Linked DNA regions of Danio rerio. The protein of the gene in region 4 interacts with the protein of the main gene of each other region in a pairwise test. Links are inferred from orthologs where the notes say so. Each region holds a gene or a part of one and is shown on either strand. Other genes may lie near its edges. The genes, in order: dtx2, rbfox1, sf1 and fam168a.

What was found.
Region 1: the proteins of fam168a (region 4) and dtx2 interact in binary tests that used the Homo sapiens proteins (3 or more experiments, as listed by UniProt). The two-hybrid records come from large-scale screens. The link is inferred for Danio rerio from reciprocal best matches to the Homo sapiens genes FAM168A and DTX2.
Region 2: the proteins of fam168a (region 4) and rbfox1 interact in binary tests that used the Homo sapiens proteins (3 or more experiments, as listed by UniProt). The link is inferred for Danio rerio from reciprocal best matches to the Homo sapiens genes FAM168A and RBFOX1.
Region 3: the proteins of fam168a (region 4) and sf1 interact in binary tests that used the Homo sapiens proteins (3 or more experiments, as listed by UniProt). The two-hybrid records come from large-scale screens. The link is inferred for Danio rerio from reciprocal best matches to the Homo sapiens genes FAM168A and SF1.

The regions. Positions count from the first base shown.
Region 1 is NC_133180.1:65,406,268-65,414,874, forward strand, and holds the start of dtx2 (probable E3 ubiquitin-protein ligase DTX2), read left to right. Parts: upstream 1-3,655; 5' UTR 3,656-4,168; coding exon 4,169-4,490; intron 4,491-8,607. UniProt on the Homo sapiens protein: Regulator of Notch signaling, a signaling pathway involved in cell-cell communications that regulates a broad spectrum of cell-fate determinations.
Region 2 is NC_133178.1:26,726,320-26,733,698, reverse strand, and holds the end of rbfox1 (RNA binding protein fox-1 homolog 1), read left to right. Parts: intron 1-3,988; coding exon of another isoform or gene 3,989-4,083; intron 4,084-4,502; coding exon 4,503-4,625; 3' UTR 4,626-4,627; downstream 4,628-7,379. UniProt on the Homo sapiens protein: RNA-binding protein that regulates alternative splicing events by binding to 5'-UGCAUGU-3' elements. Regulates alternative splicing of tissue-specific exons and of differentially spliced exons during erythropoiesis.
Region 3 is NC_133182.1:22,786,880-22,795,500, forward strand, and holds the start of sf1 (splicing factor 1), read left to right. Parts: upstream 1-2,952; 5' UTR 2,953-3,088; coding exon 3,089-3,335; intron 3,336-4,214; coding exon 4,215-4,343; intron 4,344-6,157; coding exon 6,158-6,233; intron 6,234-8,621. UniProt on the Homo sapiens protein: Necessary for the ATP-dependent first step of spliceosome assembly. Binds to the intron branch point sequence (BPS) 5'-UACUAAC-3' of the pre-mRNA. May act as transcription repressor.
Region 4 is NC_133193.1:4,901,887-4,909,741, forward strand, and holds part of fam168a (protein FAM168A), read right to left. Parts: intron 6,419-7,855; coding exon 6,276-6,418; intron 3,262-6,275; coding exon 3,087-3,261; intron 250-3,086; coding exon 137-249; 3' UTR 120-136; intron 1-119.

The DNA.
Region 1 (8,607 bases), on a different chromosome or scaffold from region 4:
GTGCGAAAGATCTGCATGAGTGAATGGCAACATCAACAGCCCAAGGTATCAGGACATTTGTGCTGCCCATTACATTACAAACCACAAAATTGCACTTCTTCTCATACTTCAGCCTCCACATCAAAGTGAAAGCTAAGAAGGTCAAGGTGCTCCAGGATTGGCCAGCCCAGTTACCAGACATACACATATTGACCATGTCTGGGGTAAGATGAAGGAGGAGGCATTGAAGATGAATCTAAAGAATCTTGATGAACCATGGAGTCCTGCAAGAACGCTTTCTTTGCCATTCCAGATGAATTTATTAATGTTATTTAAATCATTGCAGAGATTTATAGATGCAGTCGTCCAACCTCATGGGAGTCATACACAATATTAATTATGTTTCCACTGCACCATGTCTTTATATTCTATACTTCACATTATTTCTGTTAAGTGACAAGACTTTTGTCTAAGCAAAGTAAGACCTTACTGTCCTAATTTAATAATTAAAATCAATAATGATCAAGGCATGATCATATTATTATTAGTATTATTTTTTGTAAAATAAGCGTAATCTAAAAGCTTTCATATAAGCCACATCTGATACCAAATGATTAACTAGAAGTCAAGTTACTATTTGTTCTTAAAACTTGGATATGTGTGAAGACTTTTGTCAGGTAGTGTAAAATGCAAAACTTAGTTTTGCCTAAAAAGCTGTCAAAAGTGTTTCAAAAGTATTAAACAATGGTCACATACAGGTATGGAACATCAGATGAGGGTGAGTAAATAAGAGGTTGTTTGTAAAAGGTGTAGCCATTATTTGCGTATCAGATGAAATATTGCTTTGCCACCAGGATTTGTAATGTCAGATCCTGGACACAATCATGGTTAAATAACCATCTCATTAAACAGCAGTAAGAATAGCATTTGGGATTTGTTTTTAATCCAACATATGTCTAATCACTGTTGGGATACACAGCCTTTGTTTGGTGCCGAGAGAGCTCGTACAGTACGTTCATACTGTATACGACTAGTTATCATGCCTTGCGAATGTTTGTATTGTTATTTATTTATTTATTGAAATTTTTAATATGTGTATATGCAGGGAATGTAAACTCTGGCATTCAGTTAATTACATAAAGTAGCTTACTGAATGACACGGCTAACGATGCTAAAAACAACGAGCTACTTGTGTAACGTTTTTCGGAGAGGAACTTCTGCTTCAGGTTTTAAGCAAGTTGTAAAACCCCTAACACGATAGCACTAACTTATATTCAATCGAAAGACTTTTTTTTTTTATTATTATTTTAGCATTGTAAGTTACTCTTAAGTTCGTTCAATTGAGGCAAAGTGAGGTATTTTAAGGAGAAAACATCATGAATGTATTGTTTGTAAAGGAAAAGAATACTATAATGTGATTCTGTTATGACTGTCTCTGGAATCGCCAGTATTTATATGCTGTACCTTAATGCCATTTAGGCCTTTCAAATAAAATGTGTTGCCTTGCGTTTAACTGGTGTGTGTGTGTGTGTGTTTGTGTGTGTGCGTGCGTGCGTGTGTGTGTGTGTGTTTTTATTATTATGCAAGAAAGAACATTACAAAGATATAATATGAACAAAGAGACAAAGAGGGTTGCATAAATAGAATTCCAGCAAATTAAACAAGTTTAAATGATTTACACCAAGAAAGCGTTTTACATGCAGTGTAATTGTTAGAGTATTTTAAAGAGTTCACATACAAAGTCCTTTCTGAAAATTAAAAGTAAGGGTGTTTCTTTGAAAATTTACATTTATGGATGTAAAATTTTGCTTAAAAAAGCAATAAATTATTAATAAATTTACAATGAGAAGGATCTACACTCAGAGAGTAACCAAAGAATACAATTTTTGGGGAAATACAGAAGTTTGGAAATAAGAATTTTTTAATGAAATCGGAAAAGTCAACCCAAAACACTTTACGGTAAGTACACTCCCAAAATAAATGGTTTAGCGTTTATCATATTGACTACAAAATAAGCCTTTAGGGGAAATATTATTATTAAATTTAGCAAGTTTGATGTTTATTTAGTAGCACTTATGAATTACTTTGATTTAGACTTCAACAGCTTTATTAGATAAAAAAAAATTTTAATCTGTTTTTAAACTGAAGAAACTGTTCCCAATCCACATCATCAAATATATTATTCCAAAAACCTATGCAAGCAGGTAAAGAGATCCGAGAACTAGTAATAACGAAGCGAATATCTTTGCTAGACATAGAACTGAGAAGAGTTTTGTCAACAAAAAGATTTGTGTTGTCAAAAATAAAAGAATCTAAAGAACCTTTAGGGCCAGATTTGACCAAAGGTATAATACAATCAGGGATTGTACCAAAAACTATGGCATATTATTTAGGGGGAACAGGAAAATAGAACTGATGCATAAAGTTTTCGTATGAAAAAGGTACACCACAGTCATCTAAGAGCTATACTAAACTAAAAGTATATTTTTATTAAAGTGAGTGTGTGTGTGTGTGTGTGTGTGTGCGCTGGTTTTTGGTGGTTTATGAGGACAAAATTTTGTATGACCTAGGCATTACAATGTTGTGGTGGTTAATGAGGACATTACACGTGTCCTTGTAAATCAAAACGGTTAAAGTCATACTTAACAGGGTCTTTTGACATTACAAAGTTTGTCATGTTTCATTTGAAGTTGGGTTTAGGGGTAGGGTGTATAATAATCGTTTTTTTTACAGTATATAATACATTACGACCATGTAATGTCCTCATAAACGTGTGCGTGTGTGTGTAATTATGCACTGAAGCTTTACGCGTATACTGAGAATTATTTTAAAGTTATTTAGAAACAACTTCAGATTGAGTTTAGATGAATGGAGATTATTTTCCTGACACATCAGGATAGCATTAGCACCACCTACTGGATTGAAGACAGGATCACACATTTTCATCTTTACAGTTTTCATTTACAGTGGTAGGTTACAATTAACACGTTGTAAACCACAGGCTATTGTAATGAAAATTGTTATGGTTTCCAGTGTAATGCAAAAAAACGTATTACAATAAGATTTATTAGTTTTAACATACCACAAAAACAAAGCATACAGGCAACAAGAGACTCACAGGAAACATTTGCAGTTTCCATTACAACCAATACAATTACCATTGACACAATTACAAATTCTATTAAAGTTTCAGGATTCAGATCTTACATGACAAAAGTTTTATTACACATTAATTACATTTAATTACACATTAATTAATTCTGACTAATATTTTGGTACAATTGAGAACTCGTGTATTACAGATATTTAAGTGGGATTCTTGTGTTTAACCACAAATACCATATTTAAAATGTATTTATAGAAACATTATTTCTCTATTATAGATCAGTGGTTGTAACACAATAAATCACTTATGAACGTCATCTACAAAGAAAAACGCAGCGTGACTTTTATTTTGTTATTAGTCAGTGTATTACGCTTTTAAAATAAAAGCCATCTGCCGTTGACAACGTACGCAATATAAAGATAAGCATTCAAATTTTGAAGTTAACCATAGCAAAGCATAAACAAAGAATAGACAGTAGTCATTTAAAAAAATCGACATTGCTTTTATATTTGAACAATTTAAAATGTAAACATACCGACAACAAGACGGGTGCTGTTTGTGTCTGCCTTCACAGTGTGTATCTATGGGAATCCACCAGCAGCGACACAAACACACACCGCAGCAGAGGAAGTGTGTCACAAACCACTGCGTACTTTTAAAAACCATGCCGAGCGGCGAGTTTTAAATCACGACCATGCAGCATTAGCCGCCTGCCGACCTAACAGAAACTGTTATTTTACATGAATCCGATTAATGAGCCCGGTAGCCGAGCAGCATCGCACTGAATGGCGAAGAGAAGAGCGAGACGCGGCTAGTCTGAAGCTGCGACTCCAGCAGCCGAGCAAAGAAGATGCGACATCAGTGGGATTACCTTCAAATCTGCGGATAAATAAATGTTCACTCCTGAATTAAACACAGTTTTAACGACATCGAGCGATCTCTTATAGGATACTGCGGGTTAGCTGGGTGGAAAACGAGTGAAACTGAAAGGGTGGTGGTGTTGTTGTTAGCTGGGCCAGGCAGCCCCACTGCTTAACTCCGGCTTATTTTAGGATCGGTTGGGGTCATTTCTTAGCAGACACAATGGCAACAGGCTCCAGTTTCCCTTCCGGAGGGAGTGGAACTAGAAACGGACCGTCTTTCGCTTCGCCGTCGACTTCGTCTGTCACCTCGTCTGGGGTGCCCGGACAAGCTCAGCCGATGGCGGTGGTTTGGGAATGGCAGGATGATCTGGGCTTCTGGAGGCCCTACACCGGACAGGTGAGCAGCTACATCGAGCAGTGCCTCCAGCACCAGAGAGGGGCAGCGGTCGCCGGGAGCAGCATCTGTCTGGCTCAGGCAGACCCCAGCCTGTCCTCCTACATCATCGACATCCCCAACCTCAAACAGTTCAGACAGGACACTGGTGAGTCTGTACTCAACACATCAAACTGATGAATAACAGCAAAAAAGTACTATGAAACTTGTAGCTGTACATGGGCCTGTATAAGATTCGGATGGTATGAAAACCTTGCACACAAATATCGCCGTATTGTGATTAATGTTAATGCTATAAAACAGTTTTATTTTAAATGTCTAACAAACTATTCCCATCAAACAGAATATATTTTACTTTAAGAAACGTTTAAAATATCTTGGAACAGTAAATGTGAGGCTAAATGAATATAATAAATTCTTCAGTGTGTTAATATGGACACCAATAATGCTCTGATAAAGCATTGTCTACCATGTAAACAGAGATTTATGATTAATTTAATTTGATTAAGGTCTTAATCTTACTAAACAGAAATCAAATTAAGACATTTAGTCGCATTATTGAAATGTAGTACAGATATATAAACATGTAGGACTTTCAGTGAAATTTGCGACAGGATAGTCTATATGGCTGTACAAACACTATTCTTTGCATCTCTCGAGTCAATGAAGGACCACAGACACCTGCATCACAAAATGCGGAGGTTTATTTTCCCTCATCATATTACATTAAAACAACACTCTTCTAGCAGTTCATACTCGCATGCAATTTCTTATTTGTCATGGGGCGCATGCATGAAATGTTCCAGAATGAAAGTGAAAGTACCAAACTGCAGTAAAAGTCGACAACTTAAAAATGAAACACCTGAAATTACACGAAACCCAGCAGGAAATGTGGATAGCTAAAACAAGGCTAAATTTGGCCTGTCAGTGAAAATCTAATAGACATTTAAGAATCGGCCAACATTCGACTAGTCATCAAATAAACAGAAATGAATGACTAATGATCTGTTTAATCTGCATATTTGATGACTAATCGAATATATAGATTAATCAAATAGTGTTTTATAATTTTAGTTTTCATTTTTGGGTGAACGATCCCTTTAATCAACATATTTTATAATATTTTAGGCAAATGAAAGCATCACTTCAGGTGATGAATTACAAAACAATTGTGTGAAAGTGAATATCCATGTTTTACGTATGGCAAGCATTTTCTTTTTGTTTAAAATGAGATCTAATAGATGTCTAATAGACATCTAAGGCTAGATAAAACATTGCCAAACGTGGTTTGTCAGTGAAAATCTAATAGACCTCTAAGAATGGCCCTAAACTAGTTATCAAAACCACAGGAATGAATGACTGCACACGTGTGGAGTCTGTCTAATCGGTGTATTTGAGCACTAGTCTAGTTTTGGGCTGTTCTTAGACGTCTATTAGATGTTCACTGACAGCCTATTTAGCCAAGATGGATCTATTAGACATCTATTATGCATCTATTAAACAGAATTGCTTTGCAAGGTGTTGCATAAAAAAATGACTTTTTAATAATGTAAACAAAGAAAAATAATTTAAACTTTGCAGTAGAGAGAGACCTCTTTCATACACTGTAAAAAATGCCGGGTTCCACATAATTCAGTCATGTTGTTCCAACACAAATCGATTAATTAATTTAACACTTTTAACAAATTAATGTGGATCGAACATAAAAAAAATTAAGTTGTCCGAATGAACTCTCAAGAATTATGTTGTTTCAGCTCATTTTAAATAAGTAGTTAAACGAGCAAAACAAAATATTTTTTGAATGTAACATTAAATTATATTAATATATACATTTTTACTTGTCTTGGACTGTTATACTACGATATGTGAAGTTATTACTGTCTAGTACTGCCACAGCACTTTAAGAGAGTGTTAGGGAAATGTGCTTTTTGCTCATTTGGATTAAGTAAATGTGTTGTCAAGGAAGAGTCTGTAAAATCCACAGAGTGAAAGAAGCCCTGTGTGAATCTTGGCTGAAACTGATTAATTCACTTGCTCTAAATGTATGGTATTTATGCTTTATCCTTGATAACAGGTCATCAAAGCTGCTGGGAAAAGCAGTGTAGTGTGCTGCAGTATGACACATAGGCTTTATATATACTCATATAGATGGATGCAAAGTTTTAAAAAAGATAGCATTTTGTCTGTTAGCTGGAGATTAGACTTGTTTTGGTGGGTGTTTAAATGACTTCTGACACCTGTGGTCTCTATGGAAAAGAACAGGAAAGAGGTGACAAATCTCAGGAAACAAGCTAACAGATTCCGACAGGATGCACAGCGTACTCCATTTGTGAAATAACAGCTCTTTCTCACATTTGTTTTTAGAAAAGATGCACTTTGTTATAAGTTGAAAAATGTGTAAATATCTTTTGGAATGATGAAGATCTTTTGCTAATTACTGTGATGATCTTGTTATCACATTTTCTTGTTGCGATTAATTGCTGAATGGGATTCACTGGTAAAATATCCGTAAATTAGCAGTTTTCCATATTTTATGATTATTTGTGCTTTTAAATTGCATTATGGGACTTTGATTTTTCTTCCACCAATCTTTTACCTTGAAAAGGTCAAATTTTTAAATTATTTTTTTCATTTATAAAAGTGTAAAGTGATACATTTTCTGGGTTGTTGTTGTATATTTTGGTACAAAAACCTTGTTTACTAACTACCAGTACATTTTCTGGTATTTCACAGACTTATTTCGCTATATATTATTTCTTAGATGTTATATTATAATGAAAGTCACTTTGTTTACCTGTAGAGTTGAATTGTCAACGTCAAATCGACAGAGCAGAGATCAACATCCCGAAGTCCAATTCAGAACGGTGATAAATGAAAAACACTTGTGAAACACAGAATACAGAAACTGTTCATTAACAGATGTTTTTTACTGTATAGAATAGGGCTACACAATACTGGAAAAACCTGACATCGCAATATTTTTGTTCTGCAATCTATATTGCGATATTAATACAGTTTCGGTAGATGACTTTAATAGCTCTATTTGGAATGAAATCATTAACCTTGATTGGAATGATCATGTAGAGGAGTGAATCAAAGAAATTGCAAGTGTTAACGCTTGTACACACGAGGACGCTTTTCGTTTGCGTTTATAGTCAGCGTTTTTCTGGATTCAAACCCAAGCGATTTTTCATTGGAGTCGAGCAGAAGAGTATGCAAAATCACTCCTTGACCCTAGATGGCACTACACAACTTTAAGCTTCTGACACGCGCTTGAAACACAGAAGAAGAAGACAAAGTTGACATGCTTGTTGTTATGGATAGTTCAAGTAGCAACTCCAGCTCCAGCGATGAAGAAATGATTTTTGTTCACCAGTGCAATAAGCAGCTCTACGTTCATATTGCCTCTGGGCATCTTCTTCAATGTGCGCTTGCATTGACAGTTTTGCTCTTGAGTGCCTCAAAGTGCTGTTTACTGTAACTTCGGCAGCTCTCTGCACGTGAACAAAAAGTTCCAAAATGATTGGTGGAGAAGGTTGTGACATGGCACGTCAAAACAAAAAAATTGAGCATGAGGCGTTTTGTTTTAAAAAATGACGATTTTAAACCTGGCATTTTGCGCCTTGGTGTATACGATCACATTGACGCCCTTTATTTAGTCACAAGGCGTGAAACGTTGACGGAAAACGCGATCAAAAAGCGTCTCTGTGTGCACGGGCCTTAAATAAATAATATTGAGCAAAGATAAAAGTGAAATAAGTAGTCAGATATCCTGCAACAGTATTGCAATACGATACGATATTATCATTATATTTTGCCCCCGATAATGATAGATAACAATAACAGTGATATATCACAAGAAAACCATCAACGATATATCGCGATATTTATAAATGAAGGGGGGAAAATTATTAAAAAATGTATAAGATGTATTTTAATAACAGCAAATATATTTGTGGAATTGCAACATTGATATGTGTTCAATCCGACACTATGAGAAGCGCCACCTTTAAATACCTTTAAATAAATATCGATACTTGGCTACATCAATTGGACCAGCATCGATATTTTGTCCTAGCCCTGATATTGAACAATCAAACAGAATGTAAAATAACACTGTGCATTCTTCATCGCTGATCAACTATAATAATCCCACCTCCACATTACAGATGCTGCGACGAGAGTATTGTGAATGCCGACATTGCGATATCGATGCTGAAATAATATTATGCAGCCCTAGTATGGTATTGTTACAATATTGACCT
Region 2 (7,379 bases), on a different chromosome or scaffold from region 4:
AGCAACAGCTAAAAGAGGGAGCGAGTTTGAGGAAAGACGGCGTGATGAAAGTCTCCGGTTGCCCATTGCGACTTGCCACTTGTGTGTGTTTGATCACAGAAATGTCCACTTTGTGTACAAAATGCATTTTGTAAAGATCAATTTGACTATTTTGTCTAGTTTTTCTGTAAAAAAGCTTGTTTTTTATTATAATTGTAATTATTTTAGATTATATTTGATTAGTTTGTTAGTTTATTCTTCAAAAGTGTGGTCAAACATGTATAGTTTATATAAATCTAATAAGTCTCATATTCATTCATTCATTTTCCTTCAGCTTAGTCCCTTTATTTATCATGGGTCATTACAGGGAATGAACCGCCAACTTATCCAGCATATGTTTTACAAAGCGGATGCCCTTTCAGCCCCTTACAGTACTGGTAAACACCCATATGGTCACTTATTTAGAAGATCAGTCATTTGAAGAAGTATTGAAAGAAAACAAGAACAAACCAGCTCAGAATATGGATGTTTTTGTGTATGAATATGAATGCGGGATGGCACGGAGGCTCAGTGGTTAGCACTGTCACCTCACAGAAAGACAGGTTGTAGTCGTGGCTGGACCATTTGACATTTCTGTGTGGAGTTTGCATGTTCTCCTCATGTTCGCGTGGATTTCCTCTAGGTGCTTCAGTTTCCCCCAAAGTCCAAAAACATGCGCTATACGTAAGTGAATTGGGTAAACAAAACTGGACATAGTGTGTGTGAATGCGAGAGTTTATGGGTGTTTTACAGTACTGTGATGTGGCTGGAAGGGCAAAAAACGTATCCTGGAATAGCTGGTGGTTCATTTCCCTTGGGGCAACTCCTGATAAATAAGTGACAATGCCAGGGGTCTCAAACTGCCGGCCCGCGGGTCCTTTGCAGCCCCCTTCCTCCTCCCTCCGCCCCGCAACTGACAGAAATATAAAGAGTTTCGGCCTAACAAAACTTATATTTTTGAATCACTATCTGTGCAGTTGCATATACACTTGTGGTTTTGACCAACCACCTACTGGACATTTAAGGTACTGTACTATATATTTGGGTTACATTCGGTTTCTGTCGGTGTGCGGTTGAGAGTAAATCACATGCAGATTATTTCTGGGGCTGATTTAAATGTTGTAATATATGTCTGTAAGTGCTCTATTTTTACTAAAGCTATATTTTTGTAAATATTCAAGGGCCATTTGATTATAATCCATTTTATAGCACCTGTATTTTGTTGTACAAACACTTCTTCATGGCTTACACGCTATGCTGGTGGTGTGAATATGATAATTTTGCTAATAATCGATTCAAATGGTCTCATTTAATAGATTGTCTTGATTCGCATATTAAGATTTGAATTAAAAAAAAGTGCATTAATAAATTTTACTGCTGGCGAAATTGAACATGTTAAAGTAAATGTGAATAAATACATACTTTTCCCATCTTTGTTGTGGTTTTACAAAAAATAATGATATTGAGAAGAGCAGTTGCTAGTACAGTCAATAAAGTTACCCAAACTGCATTTAGCTGTTTCACACTACATGTTAAACTTTTGCTCAAGCAAAAATTGATTTTGACATAATAATAATTATTATTATGCCTATTATTAAATTGTATGTTTTCCATATCAATTTAAACTACCCCTTCAATATGTACAACAAGAAACAAAAAGAAGGAGCTTTGACACTCTGTGGAAGAATTTCTGAGTGCATCAGTTACATCAGGTTTCCACTTTTTTTCTGTGCTAGAATGTTAAAACGGCCCTCCTGTGAATTGTCAGTCACTGACATGGCCCCCCGCCCCCGCCGATTTGAGTTTGAGACCCCTGGACTAAGCCAAAGAAAAATGAATGCATGAATGTGTATGCTAAATGATTTCGCAACTTTATTGCACCCATATTTTAACATATTTTACAAGTTATTAGAAACATTAAAGTAGACCCTTTACTTGAGTTTAATTAGCTTTTTCTGTGTTTGTAAAATCACTTCTGTAAATTTAATTTAATATGAAATTGACTCCTATACTCAGTTAGCAAATGAAAATAAATAAATAACATACTCAAGCTCTTGAAGGCTGCGCTTAAACTGCAGATCTTTATGGTCAATTCCGATTTTGTGGCTGTATCCATTTTTTTTGATGAGCCGCTTACATCATCATTTAAAAGTTACTCGAATCTGATTGTCTGCATTTACACTGCACGCAATGACAAGATGCAATGACCAGAAAAAAAAGAAGGGACACTGACTGACGGCTGATAATAAAAGAGCACCCTTTTCTCCATTCATGTGTTTAATCTGTAATCTGTTAGTTGTTTTACTATAGTTCTCATTGTTATCCATCTTCTTTTAATCTAGGCCTTTTTAAACCACTAGGCATCTTAATGTAATGTCCATGGCGTGATTTATGCATGTGATGCAATAGTTTTAAGGTGCGTTCAATTTCTTGCATCTCTGCGCAGACCGATCAAAATCTGTCTTAAAGTGGTGCATGAGATCAGACAATTAATTCAGTCGGTGCAACGTTAGAAGAGCAACTGCAGGAGCTGTGATGACGACACTGATATTACACTATTGGCTGAGTTCAGCGCATAACAACAACCATGTGTGTATCGGGTTTATTATTAGACAACTTCTTTTCACTTTTTATGCCATCTCTATCTTGTATATGTATCATGCTTATTAAATGACAACTAATATTTGACTAGAGTAATAATCTTTTGTTAAATAATTAGTTTATAAAGGCTGGATTGTTTGCATAGGTTTATTTTCTGTCTTTTTTATACAGACTATAGCTCCATGACTCCAGACTTTATAGAGCATTCAGCTCCATGAAGAATTTAAATTATAAATTGCAGTGAATAACCTAAATATTAACTTAAATAAGTTTTACATACTTTTAATAAAATAATTATTATAATTAATCTCAAAACCCTAAGGCTTTCTTAACAAATTAAGGTAAAGAACTATTTTATTTAATAATTATAAGAATATTTATCCTATATGGTTATAAAATATTTTATTTGCTGTCAAGCCGTTTACGCACAAATTTTAAAGGTGACATTGAGGTACCTTGCTTTTTCTGTTTAAAGAGTTGCTCACTTATTTTGAGCTCACTTATTTTATTTTTTTAAATGCTTTCATTATCCAAAATTATTTTAATCATTGTTTAAGACGTAATCAAAACACCTTGTTTTGAGTTTTACACAAATATATAATGGAAAGTTTTATATCTACATTTACATTTAGTCATTTAGCAGACGCTTTTATCCAAAGCGACTTACAAATGAGGACAAGGAAGCAAAGGTAAATAAATGTAAACCCATTTTTAGCATATTCAAACAAAAAGTATTAGCCTAAAGAGTGATGTTTAAAGTTCTAGAATTTGTGCTTATTGTTTTGTATTTAATAGGCCTATTCATTTTTATGTTTATATTTCTCTCTCCTTTCCCCTTATTTCTCTCATGCATTTGTTATATAATTAATTCATAGTTCCCTTATTGTTTAAAAATTAACTAGTCGGTAGAGACTGTATTCTGTTTTATGTATACTGTAAATCTTTTGTTGTTATACAATACAATATGTATTTATAAAGCACATTTAAAAACAACCAAGGTTGACCAAAGTGCTGTACATAGGAGTACTAAAGACAGAGAAGAAAACAGAATATAAAAGAAACATTTAGCAATTAAAAGCAATAATCAATGATCTGTGCTATTTAACAATATAAATGCTTATTTTTTGTTCTAGTATATGAAAAGTAAGGTTTGGGACTCTACTGAAGTCTGTTCCGAGCATCACAGCTGACATCATTCGATATGGTTTTTAATGACGCACGATTTGCGACTCGAATTGATAGGTGAAAATCCGATCTACTTGTTTACACTACAGACACGAGGGCACGGATCTGATCAGATAAATTTCCACATATGAACAAGGCCTGAATCTGATTTGAGTAAATCAGACTCCATTCGATTTTTTTCCAGCTTACACATACATGGGCCATATCCGATCTGTGCCACACGGGAGAAAAATTCGGAATTGGGTCACTTGAATCATGCAGTGTAAATGCAGCCGAAAGGTACAGTTTCAACAGCAAAATTTATCAAGATTTCACTAATGTGACCACAACGTCATTTTTTCTCATATTTATCTTTTGTTATTTAAATGTTATATAATTATCTTGTTTTAAGGATATTTACTGGAAAATCTGACCATTATTCGGATCTCCCTGCATCCATGACTTTTTCTTTTTTTATTATTATTATTTGCTCTGTTAACTCATGTACATTTCTTTCAGCCCTTTTGCGTTTTTTTTTTTTAAGTAGCTAAATGCATCTGTTCTGGCATGAGCTGTGTCGGTGTGCTTGCTGCATGATGGAACGTGATTGGTTTTCGTCCGCGGGGTACAGTATGTACAGCAAACAGTCTGAATGCTAGCATAGGTCTCATCTGAGCTGTGTCAATTAAACATGTCCAAACCCGTGGCTTCTCTTGCAGAATGCTTTCGCACCCTTGACTGATGCCAAGACCAGAAGCCACGCCGATGATGTGGGTCTCGTTCTTTCTTCTTTGCAGGCTAGTATATACCGAGGTGGATACAGTCGTTTCGCGCCATATTAAAAGCAAACAAAAAATGCATTACAAAAAATCATAATAAAAACAGACAAAAAAAAATAAACATTTCAAAACCTATTGAGAATCTTCCTGTGGGGGTAAAGGAGGAGTAATTCAGAGGCCTGGGTATTGCAATACATGCAGTAGTGCATCATTTTAGCATCTCTCAAGAGAGAGAAGACAAAAACGGATATTTTTCATCTTATACCTCAGATATTTTGTGCTGTGTATTTTAATATTGTGGGTTTTTAATTTCTAAAGATTACATAGATTGTTGGCTGTAGAGGTTTCTGTGGTGATCTAGAGAGCTGCTAGATTTTAAAAAGACGAAGAAGAAAAAAAAAAGAATAATAAGATACAAATTGTTAGGGCTTTATCATGTAAATGAGTTCTGTATGATAAATATACGAGTCACTTTGGGGTTATCATATTTTGTAAGAGTGTAAGTGACTAGAGTCGTCCAGTGGTTTCTGCTTTCGTTGACATTGCCTTTACGTCTTTGTTTTGTTCTTTTGGTTTCAGTTGTTTTTGGGTTCTGTGGCGTAGAGGACGAGCACGCAGGGGATGGTGGGTACGAGTAGATACGGGCGTCTGCGTGGTAAAAGGTCAGTGTAGTTGCAGGAGCACAGCAGAGACACAGAGCCGGTCAAAGAGACCACGGAGGTATCGATTATTTAAGCTGTCTTATATCAGTCATTACTCAAAGCCAAAGGTTATGTTCCTGGGGTGTTCCGTGTGTAGATTCCAACTATACATAGCAGCTCGTAGAAACTCCCCGAAAAGTTCACCACAACAGTATTTTACTGTTTAACTATTATCTAGTCCCTAAGTCCAACCCCTCGCTAGTTTAGGCCTACCACGAGATGTTCTTTTTATATATTACGGTACTTCCAGTACGTCGATTGATATAAATGCTGACTTTTATAATACGGGAGAGACAAAACACGACGAAAAAAAAAAAAACGAAAAAAGAAAAAAAGACGCCGACCATAGCGCCGGTTCTATTTTAATTTAGTTTCTTTTACCTTTTGTTTTGTTTAGTTTTTTTTTTTTTCTCAAGAGTTTATTTGTACAAGCTGAGAGTGGGAAAAAATAAACTAACAGTGTATTAAATTTGATCTGTGCAGTGAAAATGTTCTCTTATACGACAAACACAACTGTATAATGTTTTAGATTTAGTGTGGTAGACCAACTGTTAGAGAAAGGTGTCTCATTTTTTATGGAATCATACACAGATTTATATCAACACTTTACAAGTAATGCAATCATTATGTAGATATAATCATAGTATTTTTGTCAACTGTACAATTTTGCACACACGACCTGCAATTTTTTCATCACAACTTCTTCTCCTCCTTCTCCTCCTCCTCCTCACTTGTCTGTTTTCTTTCGTTTTCTCTGCTTCCTTCGGGTGTTTCGTTTTGATATCATTTTTAATGTGACATCCTTTGTACTATTATTTTCTAGAACACAGCCTTTACACTTTGAAACTGTTTGATTATCAAGAAACTGAGAACTATATGACTTGTGAAAAAGATATCTATATGTAAATAGGAATAATGATAACTATGTCATTTACAAGTGCTACACAAGCAAGCTGTCGAGGTGTTCTTGAAGAGTCGCAGCTTGGCTGTGCATATGCGAAGACTTCCCTTCATGTTGTTTACAAGTATACCTAATTAGAGGTGTTTGTCACATATCTCATTTTTCTTTATTTTGTATTTATAAAACGTTTCGATTGCATAAAAATACAAACAAAAGAGCAGCTCCAATTTATCCGGCTGCAAAATATCCTCTTGTGTACTGTGTGCGTCACATCACACAACTTGGCAAAAATATCTTACCCACTGCTGTGATTCTGCTCTTTCTGCTTTAAGTACGTGTTGTGGACAGGCTTTCTCCTTGTCATTGTATGTGCATGCACTATGATCTGCATAACAATAACCATCAATAAAGTTTCTCAAGATAACGGGAACGGCTCTCGGAACTTTCTTGTATTCAGATGACGGAGAGCGTTTGTCCTCTGATCTGATTTCATTGCCTGAAATTGCATTGCGATGCTCAAGGCGAAGGGGAAATGATCATCTCCGAGGAGGTTAAGTGGAATTGATGCTGCCAGGTCTGAGGTGGTCATCTGTGTGCCTTTAAGAAGACTCTGTGTTTAGGATGAAGGAGAAAGATCCGATTCCGGCGGCGTGATTAGGTTATCCCACTCGCTATCTGGGATATGAAAGATCTCAGATCCTGCAAATATTTCCACATATAAAAGAAAAGAAATATGGGCTTATTTTCAGCCTGGGCTCATGAAAGATGTGGTGACATTTTTGCTAAAATTATATTAGGCTGCTTCCTGCACGTTTGCTTCACTTTCAAAGTGAAACGTCGCTAAAAGTCATTTAAAATTTTTACTACAGTATGCAAGCAAACGCAACTGTTGCAACATTTTTCTTACAGTTAAAGTCAAAATGATTTGCCCCCCTGAATTATTATCCCCCTGTTTATTTTTTACCCCGATTTCTGTTTAACGGAGAAAAGATTTTTTTCAACACATTTCTAATCATGATAGTTTTAATAATTTATCTCTAATAACTGATTTATTTTATCTTTGCCATGATGATAATGAATAATATTTGACTAGTTATTTTTCAAGACACTAGTATTCAGTGTAAAGTGACATTTGATGGCTTAATAGGTTAATTATGCAGGTCGGGGTAATTAGGCAAGTTATTGTAAAACGATGGTTTGTTCTGTAGACTATCG
Region 3 (8,621 bases), on a different chromosome or scaffold from region 4:
TTTGATATGGGTAGCAAATGAAATCTGCAGGAATGCGGCTCTCCAGGAACAGGGTTGGCCACCCCTGCTCTAGATTAACACAATTGGGTTTTTGCAGTTGCTCTGGACACATAAATTGGGTCAAAGACACATGGTGGAAAACGGAAAAATTTAATTTTGCAGTTTCCCTTTATTTAGTAAATCTTGGAGAGCTCCTATCAGAGAATCTCACTCAGGCTGATAAACAATATTATATTGAATCATGGTAATTTATGTCAATAACAATGATAAGCTCTGGACTTATTTACTCCGTATGATCTAAGAGCTAATCAAACAGCAGAAATGTGCAACAATGGGAATCGAAAAGTATGATGATATTAGAGATGTGAGGATTTAAGAGATTTTCAGTCACCAAAAAACTTTGGGCCGACAATACATTATGCCATTTAAGGGACCCTCCAATTTTTGTACCTTCAGTCATTGTTGGGGTACTCTTTTAAACCTGGAAGCTTTAACTTGTATAAAACTATAAATCATTATGGTTCAGTATGGAGAATAATTATCGAAATTGTGTTTTATTTTAATTAGCCTTTCTTTTCTTGTTTCTTCATTGATATTCTTGATTTCCCTTAGAAATTCTGCCATGATGGGATAATAGATAGACTTCAGCATGCCAAGACTGATTTAAAGAGAAAAATGAACATTTGTCATCATTAACTCGGTCTTTACTTGTTTAACTTAAACTAATTTCAGTTTCTTCCTTTTTTTTTTTACACAAAGCATAATATTTTAAAGAACCATTGACTTCCATACTATTTGTTTATCCTACTTTAAGAAAATCATTAAAAGAATTAAAACCACACAAGGTTGTGTAAATGTTGAGTTATGTATATAATTTTTGGGTGAACTATCACTTTAAATTTGTAAAAGCACAGATAATTTTTTTAAAAACAATTACTAAAATCAAATTCATTACACCCACCTGCCCATACCATAAAGAAAAATACTTGAACAGGTAAAGGTTTTGCACCCACACACACCTAATATTAATAATGATAATACGAAAACACATCTATATTAACAATAATGATCATTTTGAAACGAAAACTAGTAAGTGCTACAGTGTTTGTGCTGATGTGTGCTATAATTCTAGATAGGCTACCTGACGACTCATTGAATCCATTAAAAATATGATAACCATAAATTCTATCATTTAATAAACTTTATAGTTTGAGTTAATAGTTAATTTAAAAATTAAGTTATTACATTGTTCTGATATTGCTAAATTGGGTGATTTGTGCAAATGCATAATGTCGGAGACTCATGTGTCTGTAGAGGACATCAAAAGTAATGAGATATAGCTTTTTGAAAACTGCTAAACAGCATTTTAAAACTGCACTTTTTTGTTTTGTTATTAATTCTCATTCATTCATTTTCTTGTCGGCTTAGTCCCTTTATTAATGTGGGGTCGCCACAGCGGAATGAACCGCCAACTTATCCAGCTAGTTTTTTACGCAGCGGATGCCCTTCCAGCTGCAACCCATCTCTGGGAAACATCCACACACATATTCACACACACACTCTTACACTATGGACAATTTAGCCTACCCAATTCACCTGTACCGCATGTCTTTGGACTGTGGGGGAAACCGGCGCACCTGGAGGAAACCCACGCAAAGGCAGGGAGAACATGCAAACTCCACACTGAAACGCCAACTGAGCCGAGGTTCGAACCAGCGACCCAGAGACCTTCTTGCTGTGAGGCGACAGCACTACCTACTGTGCCACTCCTTTGCCCGTTATTAATTCTAAGGGTTCGAATTATACAAATGTAGAATAATTAGCAAGGTCAGGATATAATGTAACTCAGTAGTGTAAATGGGAAAAAAATAAACTATAATACAAATAAAATCTAAGTTTTAAATGTAATTTTATCACTCATATAGACATACTGTATCTACCAAAACCTGACCTGCACAGTAAGAGTAGATAAGATACAGCTGTGTATATGTATATCATCATTTTTTGTGACACTGTATACCAATAATTAACATGTTTACAGTACTGTGACGGTTGGATTTAGGGTTAGGGTAGGGTTCATTTATTTTCATGAGCTAAAGGGTTCATTTAATCCCTTTATTTATCGGGGGTCGCCACAGTGGACAGAACCACCAACTTATTCAGCAAATTAGCAATTCCAGCGTTATGGATGTGACATTTGCAGTAAAATCTCAGAAACAATGCTCATCAAAAGGATAAGAGTTGGCTCATTATAAAACAAAAATGATTGATTTAATTTAATTTGACATTTTTCCATTTACTAGGCAAAATCTTCGTTATTGATGTGACAGATGTGGAATTGCCACTCATGTGATTTTGGTAAGTCAAATATAATAGTTTGAAAACATTAATGGAGACATTTTTGAGTATTTTAAAGCACAAAAACCCAGAAACAGTTTTGCTATTTTGTCGAAATCTTTTTTATTTATGGCAAGGTTGACATTTGCATGGAATTGCTCCTATGTTTTACACAGCGGATGCCCTTCCAGCTGCAACCCAATACTGGGAAACATCCATACACTCATTTATACTCATTTTCTCCACACAGAAAGGCCAACTGCCAAAGCTGGGGCTTGAACCAGTGACATTCTTGCTGTGAGGCGACAGTGCTAACCACTGTGAAAAAAACACTGTCGCCCTAATAAAATATGGGAAATGTAATTTTCGTTGTCTGCCAGCCATAACCGTATCTGATCTAGCTACAACCTGACCACACCGCACAGAAAGAGCCAACCTATCCTGGAACATATGGCCGGCTTGGCGACCAATGAGAGGTAAGTAAATTGCTCCGACGGAAACACGACAGACCTTAAATGATCCAATGAATGTTCCCCAAACACAGATTGACACGACTATCGACCAATCGGATATTTCTAAATTGACGTCAAAGCTCCTTTGTCGATCTCAGCGGACGCCATCTTATCCAGCGGGTGACAGAAGAAGGTTGCGTGGTCGGAGACACGCGTTCGTATCAATTGATTTATCAACAAAAGAAACGGATACATTCTGTGCAGATATCGAACCACGAAGAAGCCCCTGACGCCCAGAAATGGCAACGGGAGCTAACGCAACCCCGCTTGGTAAGCTGCACCCGAGCATCGGCGCTAAGCGAGGCTTTGACTCTGGCCCCGGTCCGGGGTTAATGCCTCCGCCTGGGCCTTCGGTGCCTTTCCCGCTGCAGAACTTCCAACCGCCACAATTATCAAATCCTGGGTTCCCGCAGTTTCCCGGAGCCGTGAGCTCTGCGCTCTCAAACCCTATCGTAGTAGGACAGCAGTCTCAAGCGGGAGGCGGAGGTAAACACCGTGGACAGGCCTTGACTCCTTCAGGATCAACGGCCTCCATTTATAAAAGTAGAATGGCTGGTTACCGTCATTAATAGTCTTACTTGTTTTTACAATGCCATTGCATATTAAAAATCTTTGGAATGTGTAATTATTTAACATGTTCATTTGGGGGATCAAAACTTAATCTAACGTTACACGTTAAAGTATTGTGTTGTATTTAACACTGAACTCTGAAATGAAATATGATGCAGAAAAATCTATTGTTTTGAAATCGAGCAGTGTTAACATTAGACAATAAAGTGCACACTGTTTTTTTTAATATAGATTTTTTTTTTTCAGTTTAGTGCATAATATGGTATAAAAAGGGTTGGGAGCTTTTACACAGCAAATGTACATGCCCAGACTGAACAAAGATGTTTATTACATTGCAGTGTTTATATGGCTAACGATGTTAAGTTAATATAACGTGGCATTTAGCAGCAAACTGCTTGCTTAAACTGCTAAAAACCTTAGAATGCTGTCTTAAATATTTCTTAAATTATTAGTATGTTTCGTAATATCACTTTTATGGCAAAGAATAAGTCCTTTTCCAGGTCTTTAAAGTAAAATATTTCAACATAAACAAGAGAGGCAAAGGTGAAAAATTGATGGAAATTTCAGACGGCACTTAAGAGGTTTTTGCATCTGAACTCTTCATATTTATAATTTCTTTTTAATCAAAGAAAAAATCCTATGTTTACTTTTTAAAAGTGTAATAATTCAATAAATTAAACATTTTGCATCATAAAGACATGGTGAACGTTTCTGTGAAGTTTTGGTCTTAATTTACAGGCTTTAGACATCCACAAATCAGACATAATGGCTTAATTTGTTTACATCCCCTGTCAGATTTTGGACAGAAGAAACGGAAAAGAAGTCGCTGGAGCAGCGAGACCCCTGATCAGAAGACTGTTATCCCGGGCATGCCCACCGTGATCCCTCCTGGGCTGACTCGGGACCAAGAACGAGCTTATATAGGTGAATATCTAAAATTTGCTATTACAACATCTGTCAGAGTCATAGAGTTTAGGTTGCAAATAATTTTGTATGTGAACGGGGGAATATTCTGTCTACACCCAAACAAGTCACTTTTTTTTTTTTTGTCCCAAAACTTGTTTATAATTTTTTTTCTCACAGTTTGCACATCACATGAAGGATGTAACTGCTTAATTTCATTAGTCTGACTTCTTTGCTGATACAACTGATGTCAAATTAGTGAAAGAACCTTTATGTTAAAGCAACAGTTCAAAACGGTCATCTCTATATGTCTCAAATGACTTTATAGAAATGGTCTTCTCAAAGAAGTCAATCCATCGAAATTCAGCACTTTGCCCCATATTTACTAGAATGCACTAACTCCATCAATGTGCAATGTGAGTGCCATTTATTTATTTTTGTTCGTTTAGGACACACTGAGGTATTGGTAGCACTGTCAATGTTTGCATATACCATCTGATGTCCATTAGCAAGAACCCACTGTGTTTTCTGATGTTGCTGCTTGCTGTGAACTGTCTCCAGCTGCAGAACTCCATCACTGCTCATGTTTACTATGCAAAAAATGTCTCGTCCAATTCGACTGCGAAAGCAATGCAGGTCCGATACTGAATTGCTAAAGTCATCTCCATCCCCTTGTGTCTGAAAGCAGTGTGTAGTAAATTGCTTTCTCATTGCTGTCAGGCACTTGTTTTGCAGTAGCATGTGGTGTAGTGTTTGTTTCGACTATAATGTGACCTAGACCTACATCTCTTTAACTACTCCTCCTTTTGACAACTGACACCTCATGTCTCTTACCCACCATCAACCTGCACCATTCAATGTGGGGTCCGATTCTCTTAAGCATGTCATAGAGAAATGCATGTGAAAGCCCATGAAATGCTTCCATGAGTGATGCAGTAATTTGGTTGGTTACAGGTCAGTCTTTGGGTTTGTACAGGCTGATTTGGTTGGCGTGGCTTGAGGCCTTAGTAAAATAAATTGCATGATAAAACGACCTGCTAAAGGCTGATCTGTTTGTCTTAGAACTTATTTATAAATATTGGATTTTACTTAATTGAGTAGTGTTTGTAACTACTGGTAAGTTGCTGACGTGTCAATAACTTGAGTGTTGAATGTAATTGTTTATGTATTGGCTTTTCACACCCAGTGTTAATGACTATTTTTTTAACATAGTAATTTAATTTCATTACGCTGGTGTTATTCTATAACTTTTTATATGAGGATGCATTTGCTCAAGCCATTTAGCCAATATGTTTTTTGATTTCTTCAAACACAACTTTTTTTCCCCCCTCGACAGGCCTTCATGTTTTTGCCACCTTTTTAGCTCATGTGAACTAATGTTTTTAAGGATATGCATAATGTGAATTTTACTTCTCAGAGTTGGTGGCATAAAATGGAAAGCCTGTTGCTATGATCTTTTTCTGAAATTGTTATTTGCTGAAATCCCTTCAGGTTTCTGAAATTAAAATTGGCTGAACATTTGAAACTTGAATTTCTGATTATTTGGGGAATGGGCTCATGAGAATACACTCAAGCTTAAACCGAAGTATGCTTTGCAGAATTCCTGTCGGGCTTTCAGTGTTTCAGAAAAAATACTACAGAGGATCAAATGTCTTTACTTGACCTTGATTCTTAGTGAACTGTCAATTTACCATGGTAATTTTTTGTTTGTTGCTTAACCCTAGTCACATTGAGTTTTACAGTGTACTGATTCTGGTTTTGTGGGGTCTTTTTGTTGTTAACCACATTTTTCTCCATCCTTGTTTTTTTTTCTTTCCTAACCTGATTTCTTCCAGTCCAACTGCAGATTGAAGACCTGACACGTAAACTGCGTACAGGAGACCTGGGAATCCCTGTTAACCCTGAGGACAGGTCGGAATAACGATTTAAACCCACCAACAGTAACATTTTCTTTACCTTTTCAATGCGCCAATTTAAGTGAGCCCAGTTCGTAAGTGTACTAGTGTCTATGTAGGGGTAAGTAATTAAGTGACAGAAATAAGTTTAAATGCCTTGCTTTTAACTGACATCATATCTTTGCCTCTTAATTGAAGAGTTTTGAAAGTTCTTTTATTGTAATTAAATAGATTGTATTACAAACCTAAACTTTTCAGTGTTTTAAACACTTTTTGTATTTTTAAAGGGTCACGAAATGCCAAAACACATTTTTTGAGATCTTGATAGTTATATAGGTGTCTCGCGTTGCTAAAAACGCTATTAGGACACATTAATTTAGCTAAAAAATGAAAATTGGTTGTTTTTGCATTGTTTAGAGCAAATTCATTCTCCTGGGTTGAAAGGAGAAATTTTGTAGCAACATCACAGCGATGAGATCATTATGTAAATTCCAGCGTGGAGATTGGCTGTCTGTACCAGTTGGTACAAAGTGACACAATTGAGTTTTTATTCAGCGTGCTCTAATATAAACAAGATGCAACTTCATTAATATGCATGATATAGCTTCGAAGCCCCCTTTTACCTGTTACAATGTTTAGAGAGATACCATGTTGTGTTGCCAATCATAATTCAAACAAGTAGAAGAATTGTTATGAGACGTGAGTTGTAAGTGTTGCATTTATAAATGTGCCGCAACAGGTTTTGTTTCCATTTCCCTGTGATGAGAGCACAGCTCGCATGTGGACCCACATGTGTGGATTACAGTGGTTTGCTAACATGCGACAAAAATGTTTGTAAGGGACTTTTTTTTTTTTTTTTTTTTTTTTTAAACGAGAGCTTTTCGAAAATGATGAATTGACGAATCTAGATTTGCCACTCATCTTTTAAAAAAAAAAAGAAAAAAAGACCTGGTTCCAGTTTTGATGTTTACAGGTTTAGTAAGTGTGCAGTCAATGTTCTTTGTTTGTTTATTCAGATGGCAAAGTTAGTTAGTATCATCAGCAGTACTCTTATTTTTTTGAAGACATACCTTAGTCAAAATGTTTTAGTTACGAAGTTACTACAATATTAAGGACTAAAAGATCTGCTGTAAAATGCTGCTCCGAATGCAAACACCTTAATCAAACTATTACTGTTGTGTAGTATTTTTTTCATGGCCCTTTAAAAAACATCTGATCTGTTTTGTATGTGGAGGCAAAGATTAGAATAAAGGCTATTATTGTAGGACATTGTCATACAAAAAAATCTGACTTTCATTGGCTAGCCAGTGTTACATGCTTTTGAAATTAAGTTGTCTTGCAGAACATATCTTAACAGAGTGATGATTAACTCGACCCATCAAAACGTGTAGGCATAAAACCAACAATTCTTTTGATTGTCCAAAGTAAATCTTGTTTACTTTTATTCTGAACTGTTTTTGTAGATATTTAATTGCATGCTTTTTCATGTGCTATGATACTTGTGTATTATTAGAAATGCTGCAGTAGTTTAATTGATTCTCCCAGTGTAGTTGCTGTAGTTGAAGATAGTAGGTTCGGTCATTATTTAAGTTTTTGAAAGTATTAATTTTTTATTAGATTATATATTACATTACTGCCCTTTTTTTCTAACCTCCGAAATCCAGTCTTAAACACATTAAAGTCCTTAAATTAAAAAATCTGAATGGTTGGTTAATTGGATGGTCAATAATGGTTTTCCATAATGGGGCTACCACCATTTTGTCCAGGAACTTCCACAGTATTCCAGATTTCCGCACTGGAAGACCGCTCGGAGGAGTCTCCTCTGAACTTTTCTTTCTGGAATAACCTTAACCTTAACACTTTGATCACTTTGGCCACTCATAGACTTCATAAGCATCCAACATAGCAGGAATGTCATGTTTCTGACGTAAGAGTGTCTTTTTAGTAGCCACATCCCTTGCTCTCTGAACAGCCTTAGGTTCTCCGGCAGAATCTTAATCCGACGTTTTTACACCGCCAACTCTTCTTAAAGGTCTATCCACTCCAGGATTTAGGAACGATTGCTCATCAACTTCCAGCTCGCCAAAAACAAAGCTGGAGGTGCTTCAAGTTGTCAGCGCTGGAGATATCAGCCCAAAAGAAAACCAGCAGAGCATTCTTTTCTCTCTCCCCCCAACCCTCTTTTCTCCTCTTCGGGTTACCTCTCATGAACTTGTCACGTTTGTGTGGCTGTACTGTTTGAGAGCTGTTGAAGGTTAACATTTAATCCAAATTTATTTCTCTAACCCAAATTCCCAGTCTCGTAACTTTTTTCAAACACAGAGCCTCATTGTGCAGGTTAACAGGTTTTCAGCACCGTCCAAGGGAAAGGTAACATTTGGGATGCTCTTTGAGAGCATGTGAT
Region 4 (7,855 bases):
TATGATACACATGTGGATCTACATGAACCTTTCACTAAAAGTTTATCGGTGTGTGAAAAACACTAGCTGTGCACACAGCCTCCTTAAATTAAGATTGAGATTTGTGGGCGGGGACTCACATGATTGGCAGGTGGCTCTACCAGTGAGGTGGCACATAGCTGTAGCCAGGTGTTCCTTGGGGTCGGTATGTTGGCACGGTGACGGGATGTGCTCCAATCTGAGTGTGCTGAGGGGTGGTCAGCAAAGTGCCTGATGGAGACAAGGAAATAAAGTGTTCATCACTCATTTACAGCAGTACTGAATTACAGCAGAACTAATGGGTGTGTTTTTTCTTGGACTAAGCTTGTTAATGGCACTAGCTGTATTTGTATTGAATCTAGTTATTAAAGTAGTCATAATTGTTTCATAAATATCATGTTAATTTTTTAAATACTGTAATTTATATTATTAACAAATATATCTAAATAAAAATGGATGAATTAGTGTTTTAAAATATAGACATTAATTAAAAATGCTAACTTTTTCAAGAACTGAAAGTCTGCAAAAGACACTATAATTGTGATATATGCAATTATTGAGCGCTCGAGCACCGAATGGAGTAGACTAGGGGTGGTCAACCCTGCTCCTGGAAAACTACCTTCCAACAAATTTCAGCTCCAACCCTGATCAAACACACAAGAATCAATGAATTAGGACCTGAACAGCGCTTGCTAATCACAGGTAGGTGTGTTTGATATGGGTTGCAACTGAAATCTGCAGGAGGGTAGATCTCCAGCAACAGAGTTGAGCACTCCTTTAGTACCTAGTTTGAAGAGCTCCTTCAATAATCTTGAAAAAAACGAGCTTAATTTATTTATGATCTAAACAAAACAACGCCTTTTTAAGCTTGAAGTCAAGATGATGAAACCTAAAATGAAGCAATGTGATCAACCGGCCAATGTAAGCACACTCTGAATGAATAAGCGGCTAGTGCTACTGTCAACGACGAGACCACAGCCTTATCTCCAATTTTGGCAGCAATCCAAGCATCTATTCAAGCTATGGATATGTCGATTGAGAGATTTAACACTATCAAAGATAAAACTAATTGTTAAACTCAAAACATTTATTATGGTCATTTTATGTTAGGTAAAAAATTATTTAAAGAAATATGTATGTATGTATGTATGTATGTATGTATATATATATATATATATATATATATATATATATATATATATATATATATATATATATATATATATATATATTCATTTATTTTCTTGTCGGCTTAGTCCCTTTATTAATCTGGGGACTACACACAGCGGAATATATATATATATATATACACACACACAGTTGAAGTCAGAATTATTAGCCCCCCTTTGCATTTTTTTCTTTTTTAAATAATTCCCAAATTATGTTTAACAGAGCAAGGAAATTTTTTATTTCTCATATATATATATATATATATATATATATATATATATATATATATATATATATATATATATATATATATATATATATATATATATATATACACAGTTGAAGTCAGAATTATGTTATTTTTTTCCCAATTTGTGTTGAACAGAGAGAAGATGTTTTCAACACATTTCTAAACGTAATAGTTTTAATAACTCATCTCTAATAACTGATTTATTTTATCTTTGCCATGATGACAGTAAATAATATTTGACTAGATAACTTTCAAGACACTTCTATACAGCTTAAAGTGACATTTAAAGGCTCGATTAGGTTAATTAGGTTAACTAGACAGACTAGGGTAATTAGGCAAGTTATTGTATAACGATGATGTGTTCTGTAGATTATTGAAAAAAAAAATTAGCCGGAAGGGGCTAATAATTTTGTCCTTAAAATGGGTTTAAAAAAATTAAAATTACTTTTATTCTATTCAAAATAAAACAAATAAGAGTTTCTCCAAAAGAAAAAAAATATTATCAGACAAACTGTGAAAATTCCCTTTCTCATAATTTGGGAAATAATTAAAAAGAGAAAAACATTAAAAGGGGGACTAATAATTCTTACTTCAACTGCATGTGTAATGTATGTGTGTGTGTGTGGCCTTGAAACACAAAACAAGTCATAAATGTAAAAAAAAAAACTAAATATTATCAAAAAAAACATTAAAGTTGAACAAATTATGTTCTTACCAATGCGTACTTATCAAATATTACATTGTGATATATTTAAAGTAGGGAATTCACAAAACATCTTCACGGAACATGATCTTTACTTAATATTCCAATGATTCTCTAATGAACTAAAATAAAAATAAAAAATTAATATATTTCTTTTTTCATATTTTTAAATATTTACACTCTAAACATCCTATATATATATATATATATATATATATATATATATATATATATATATATATATACATTATATATATATAGTTGAAGTCAGCATTATTAACCCCCCATTTATTTTTTTATTTTTTTTATATTTCTCAAATTATATTGACTAGTGCAAGACAACTTTTACAGTATGTCTGATAATATTTTTGTCTTCAGGAGAAAGTCTTATTTGTTTTATTTGTTTTATTTCGGCTAGAATAAAAGCAGTTTGAATTTATTAAACACCATTTTAAGGACAGAATTATTCGCCCCTTTTAAGCTATTTTTTTTCAATAGTCTACAGAACAAACCATCGCCATACAATAACTTGCCTAATTACCCTAACCTGCCTAGTTACCATAATTAACCTAGTTAAGTGTTTAAATGCCACTTTAAGCTGTATAGAAGTGTCTTGAAAATATCTAGTAAAATATTATTTACTGTCATCATGGCAAAGATAAAATAAATCAGTTATTAGAGATGAGTTATTAAAACTATTATGTTTAGAAATGTGTTGAAAACATTTTCTCTCCATTAAACAGAAATTGGGGAAAAATAAACAGGTGGGCTAACAATTCAGGGGGGCTAATAATTCTGACATCAACTGTATATATATATTTATTTGTATAAAATAATTATATATATTTACTTTATATTTTTCCAGCTGTTGTGATTTTAATACACATGAAATAGGAAGATCAGACAGAAAGTGTGGATTTATGTAATGATTTATTTGTGGTTTACCGGCAGACATGGCCATGGTTGTTCCGGCCACCATGCCCATGGCCACCCCATTGGAACGTGGCGCGGGCACCGGAGCAGGGTAGATAGCGGAGGGGATGCTGTTGGGCTGCACCACGGTGGTGTGGTGGATGACGTGAGGCTGAGCTGCATACACCGGCTGTGTGAAATAAGCACCCTAAGGAGAAAAACGCACACACAAACATTACAGCACACACACACAGCTGACAATCAACAGATATATGACAAGTGCAGTGCTGTATGTTCCAACACAGTACATATTACTGCAGTGTTTGCTATGGTACTGAATCTGTGTTACTACCATTACGCTAAATGTTACACTATATAATTAAAATACATTTAAAATAATTGAATGAAAAACTTTGCTTAATGTTATTTTTTTATTTTATTTTATTATTTGCCGGTTGAATCTATCTAATATTTACATTTTATTGTATTTTTACATACAGCTTTTACTATTTAACCAATTTATTTAAGCATGTTTTAGTACTCAAGCTTGTGCAATTTTATTTATTTAATTTAATTAATTTGACTTGATTTTACTTCAGTTCCTAATTGCTAATAAGTAAAACAATTTAAGTAAATAAAAATAAATAAATAAAAGCCATAGAAATTAAATCTAACAACAAATGAATATTTTTTAATTACTAAAACTATTATTAAAATAAATGCTAAACTGTACATATAAAAGCTAACTTAAAATAATTATAAGTGCTACAAAGGTGTAAAGTAAAATTAAAATTGCACTATAGTAGCATCATAATACATTTTGATACTCAAACAACATTTCCAGTCTATTATTTGACATGAAGCATTTGAGCAAAACAGAATATTCTGAGCAAATAAATCAGCCGATTCTGCTGGTAACTCAGTCATTATTTGATATCATTATATAAATATTTTTTGAGGAATGCTAACCAAGTGTAAATGTGTCTGCCAAATGCATAAACACAACTGTTAGCAATATTTTAAGCCTCTGATGCATTCTGGGCTGTTTTGATCTGTTAAAGATACATAAAAAGGTTCTACAGAAATACATAGTTTAAGTAAAGAAAAACATGTTCATCAGATGCTTTAAAACCCTCAAAATACCCAAAGAGAGATTTTTAAATTATATAAATGTGTCATTTTGAACATAAGTATGTATTAAAAATACTTTTGTAAAATGATCTCAGGGTTAAAGGTGTTTTAATAAACATATATTGCCACATAATCATACTGTTTTGTAAGAAATAAACATAAATATGTACAATAGGTAGGCTTTATAAATCTGAACTGAGTAATTATGAATTCTAGTGAGGTTAATAATTAATTATAATGTCCTACAATGGTATATATTTAAATAATATCTCAAGAAACTAAAATTTTAAATGTGCATATACAGTGCTCAGCATAATTGAGTACACCCTATTTTGAAATTGAATATTTGTATTCATTTCTCAGAGAATATAGGCAATTTATTTTGGTGCATTTGAACAAAACAGATTTAAAATATAAAATTTATATATATAATATATAATTAAGTTTCAAATAATTCTCTTTTTATCATAAAAAGGCAATAAATAGACAAATACCAAGGTGAAAATGAAGTAACATTCAATACCGTTTTCCACATTCTCTCGATTGTGGCGATTATATATACATACATACATACATATATATATATATATATATATATATATATATATATATATATATATATATATATATATATATATATATACATACACACACACAAACACACACACACACACACACACACACACACACACACACACACACACACACACACACACACACACACACACACACACACACACACACACATCTATCTATCTATCTATCTATCTATCTATCTATCTATCTATCTATCTATCTATCTATCTATCTATCTATCTATCTATCTATCTATCTATATAAAATAATAAAAAGTGCATATAGATTCTGAATATACTGTGCTGAAAATTGTAAAAAATGACTGTTAGCTATGGGTTAAAATAGCTAAAGAAATCCATACTACAACAAAATGACCTTATATTCTTATTAGTGCAGTGTTAGATTCCTATATTCTTCTTTGAGACCTTTTATTCTTATTAGATTTGATGGAATTGTCTCTTATAATAATTTCACAGACGAAACAAAAATGTAAGTCTGATTTTAGTCTTACAATGGACACCAGTAATGATTTTTCTAAGGCACATAAGTAAATGATACTTTACTTATAGTCCCTAATTAAACTATAACCTAATCCTGGTTGGATGATCAAAACAAACTTTTATTTTTAATGCTATTAATCTTAGCCCAGCACTAAGACGTGTATATATATATATATATATATATATATATATATATATATATATATATATATATATATATATATATATATATATATATATATATATATATATATATATATATATGAATAAACAAACATTTTATACAACTTAGTGATGCATATATTTATATACACAAAATTTTACACAGTACGCACAAAATATATTTAATATTTTAATGGATGTGATTAGGGGCGTGGCTCAGTGGTTAGCACTGTCGCCTCTCTGCAAGAAGGTCACTGGTTTGAGTCTCGGCTGGGCCAGTTGGCAATACTGTATGGAGTTTGCATGTTCTCCCCATGTTGGTGTGGGTTTCCTTTGAGTGCTCCGGTTTCCCCAAAAGTCCAAACACGTGCGCTATAAGTGTGTGAGTGCATGTGTGAATGTATGGATATTTCTCAGTACTGGGTTTTGGCTAGAAGGGCATCCGCTGCGTAAAACATACTGTATGCTGGATAAGTTGGTGGTTCATTCCGCTGTGGCGGCCCCTAATTAATAAAGGGACTAAACCGAAGGAAAATGAATGAATGGATGCGATTAATCATGACTATTCTTTTGACAGCAACTAGTTTTAATGTAATCTGAGTCTAAGCCACAGGTGTCAAACCCAGTTCCAAAAGGGCCGCAGCTCTGCACAGTTTAGTTCCAACCCTAAATAAACACACCTGATCAAACTAACTGAGTCCTTCAGGCTTGTTTGAAACGTACAGGTAAGTGTGTTGGAGCAGGGTTGGAACTAAACTGTGCAGGGCTTCGGCCCTCCAGGAATTGAGTTTGACACCCTTGCTCTTATTCATGTCTGTGAAACTGGGCGCAAGTGTGTTAGTGCAGTTCTGACCTGAGCATAGAGGTTCTGCTGTGGATAGGCACTTCTGATGGGGTACATGGCCGTGGGGTAGGGGTTTGGGGACGGGGAGTACGGTGGAGGGGCTCCATTGCTCTGAGTAGGGGGCACTTTATAAGGCGTTCCTGCAGTATATCCTGAAACACAGACAGAGAGACGGATCATCAGGCTGCGCAAACATCTGAGACATCTCCATCGAGTATAACACATAGGATGAGCAAAAAATAACCATATGACCTGGCTGGAATAAACAAAGGTAATGACGCCATCTTCTGGTGCGCAACGGTAATGCATGCAAAAATGTGAAGTATGTGAAGTATCTCTCTCTCTCTCTCTCTCACACACACACACACACACACACACACACACACACACACACACACACACACACACACACACACACACACACACACACACACACACACCATCTATTAGGTATTTATAGACCATTTTCGATGTGATCATGTCATTGGCCCATGTACATGTCCTGCTTGTTATCAAACTATTTCATAACTGTAAAAAGAGACAATACAATTACAACTTCATGTTAAAACTGCTCTCATAACATTATCAATATGTGACTCTTTGGAGTTTTGGAAGCTATAGAAATTACAAGTGTAAAACAGGATATACATTAGGACCATGGTTTTTGTTTACATCCCTCAAAATGGTCTATTAGTCTGAGACTCACTGGAAGATACAAAAAGTAGAAACAAAAGCACACAAAGTTTGACTTGAGCTGCACAAAGCCAAGTCTTTTAATGCAAGACACTGTAGGAGAATAGAGTAAGACGAAAAAACTATATAAATAACCATACTTCCAGAGTTGACCGCTTGCATTTGTTGTATTACAAGTTTTCTAAAATGTTATGCATGTATAAATATGCACATGAGACATTGTTTAAAAATATGCACTCATTTGGAAGTATTTCTGCCACAAGTCATGTTTTTGCAAGTATTTGACAGATAGAGCTGCATTGATATTGATAATCATAATTCAGAAAACACTGAGCAGCCAAAATACACAGTGAACAGCCAAAATAAATAGTTTCATTAAGGAATGTGTGTTATGTGTGAACAAATACCTCGGCTAAAAGCCTTTAGAATATAGATAATACATAAACCTGTACAGTTCTGTGTATGAAAAAGTTACCGAAGTGCAGATTGATGACACATTTTCAGAAAAAGACTTAAATAATATTGAATTATTATCTGTATAAATCAGGGGTGCCCAACCCTGTTCCTGGAGAGCCATCATCCTGCTGAATTTATTTGCAACCCATATCAAACACACCTGCCAGTAATTCTCTCGTAATGTTCAGATCCTAATTAATTGGTTCAGGTGTGTTTGATATGGGTAGCAACTGAAATCTGCAGGAAGGTGGCTCTCCAGGAACAGGGTTGGCCACCCCTGGTATAAATAATCATCAGGTACAAACAGGGGTCTGTTCTTCGTACGTGGATTTCTCAATTAGCTGGATTTGGATAATGACGATTTGACACGATCCAGGATGGTTTAGTTCTTCAAAACTCATCTGAGACTCATCTGAGTTCTGGTAGCTCAAACCTACTTG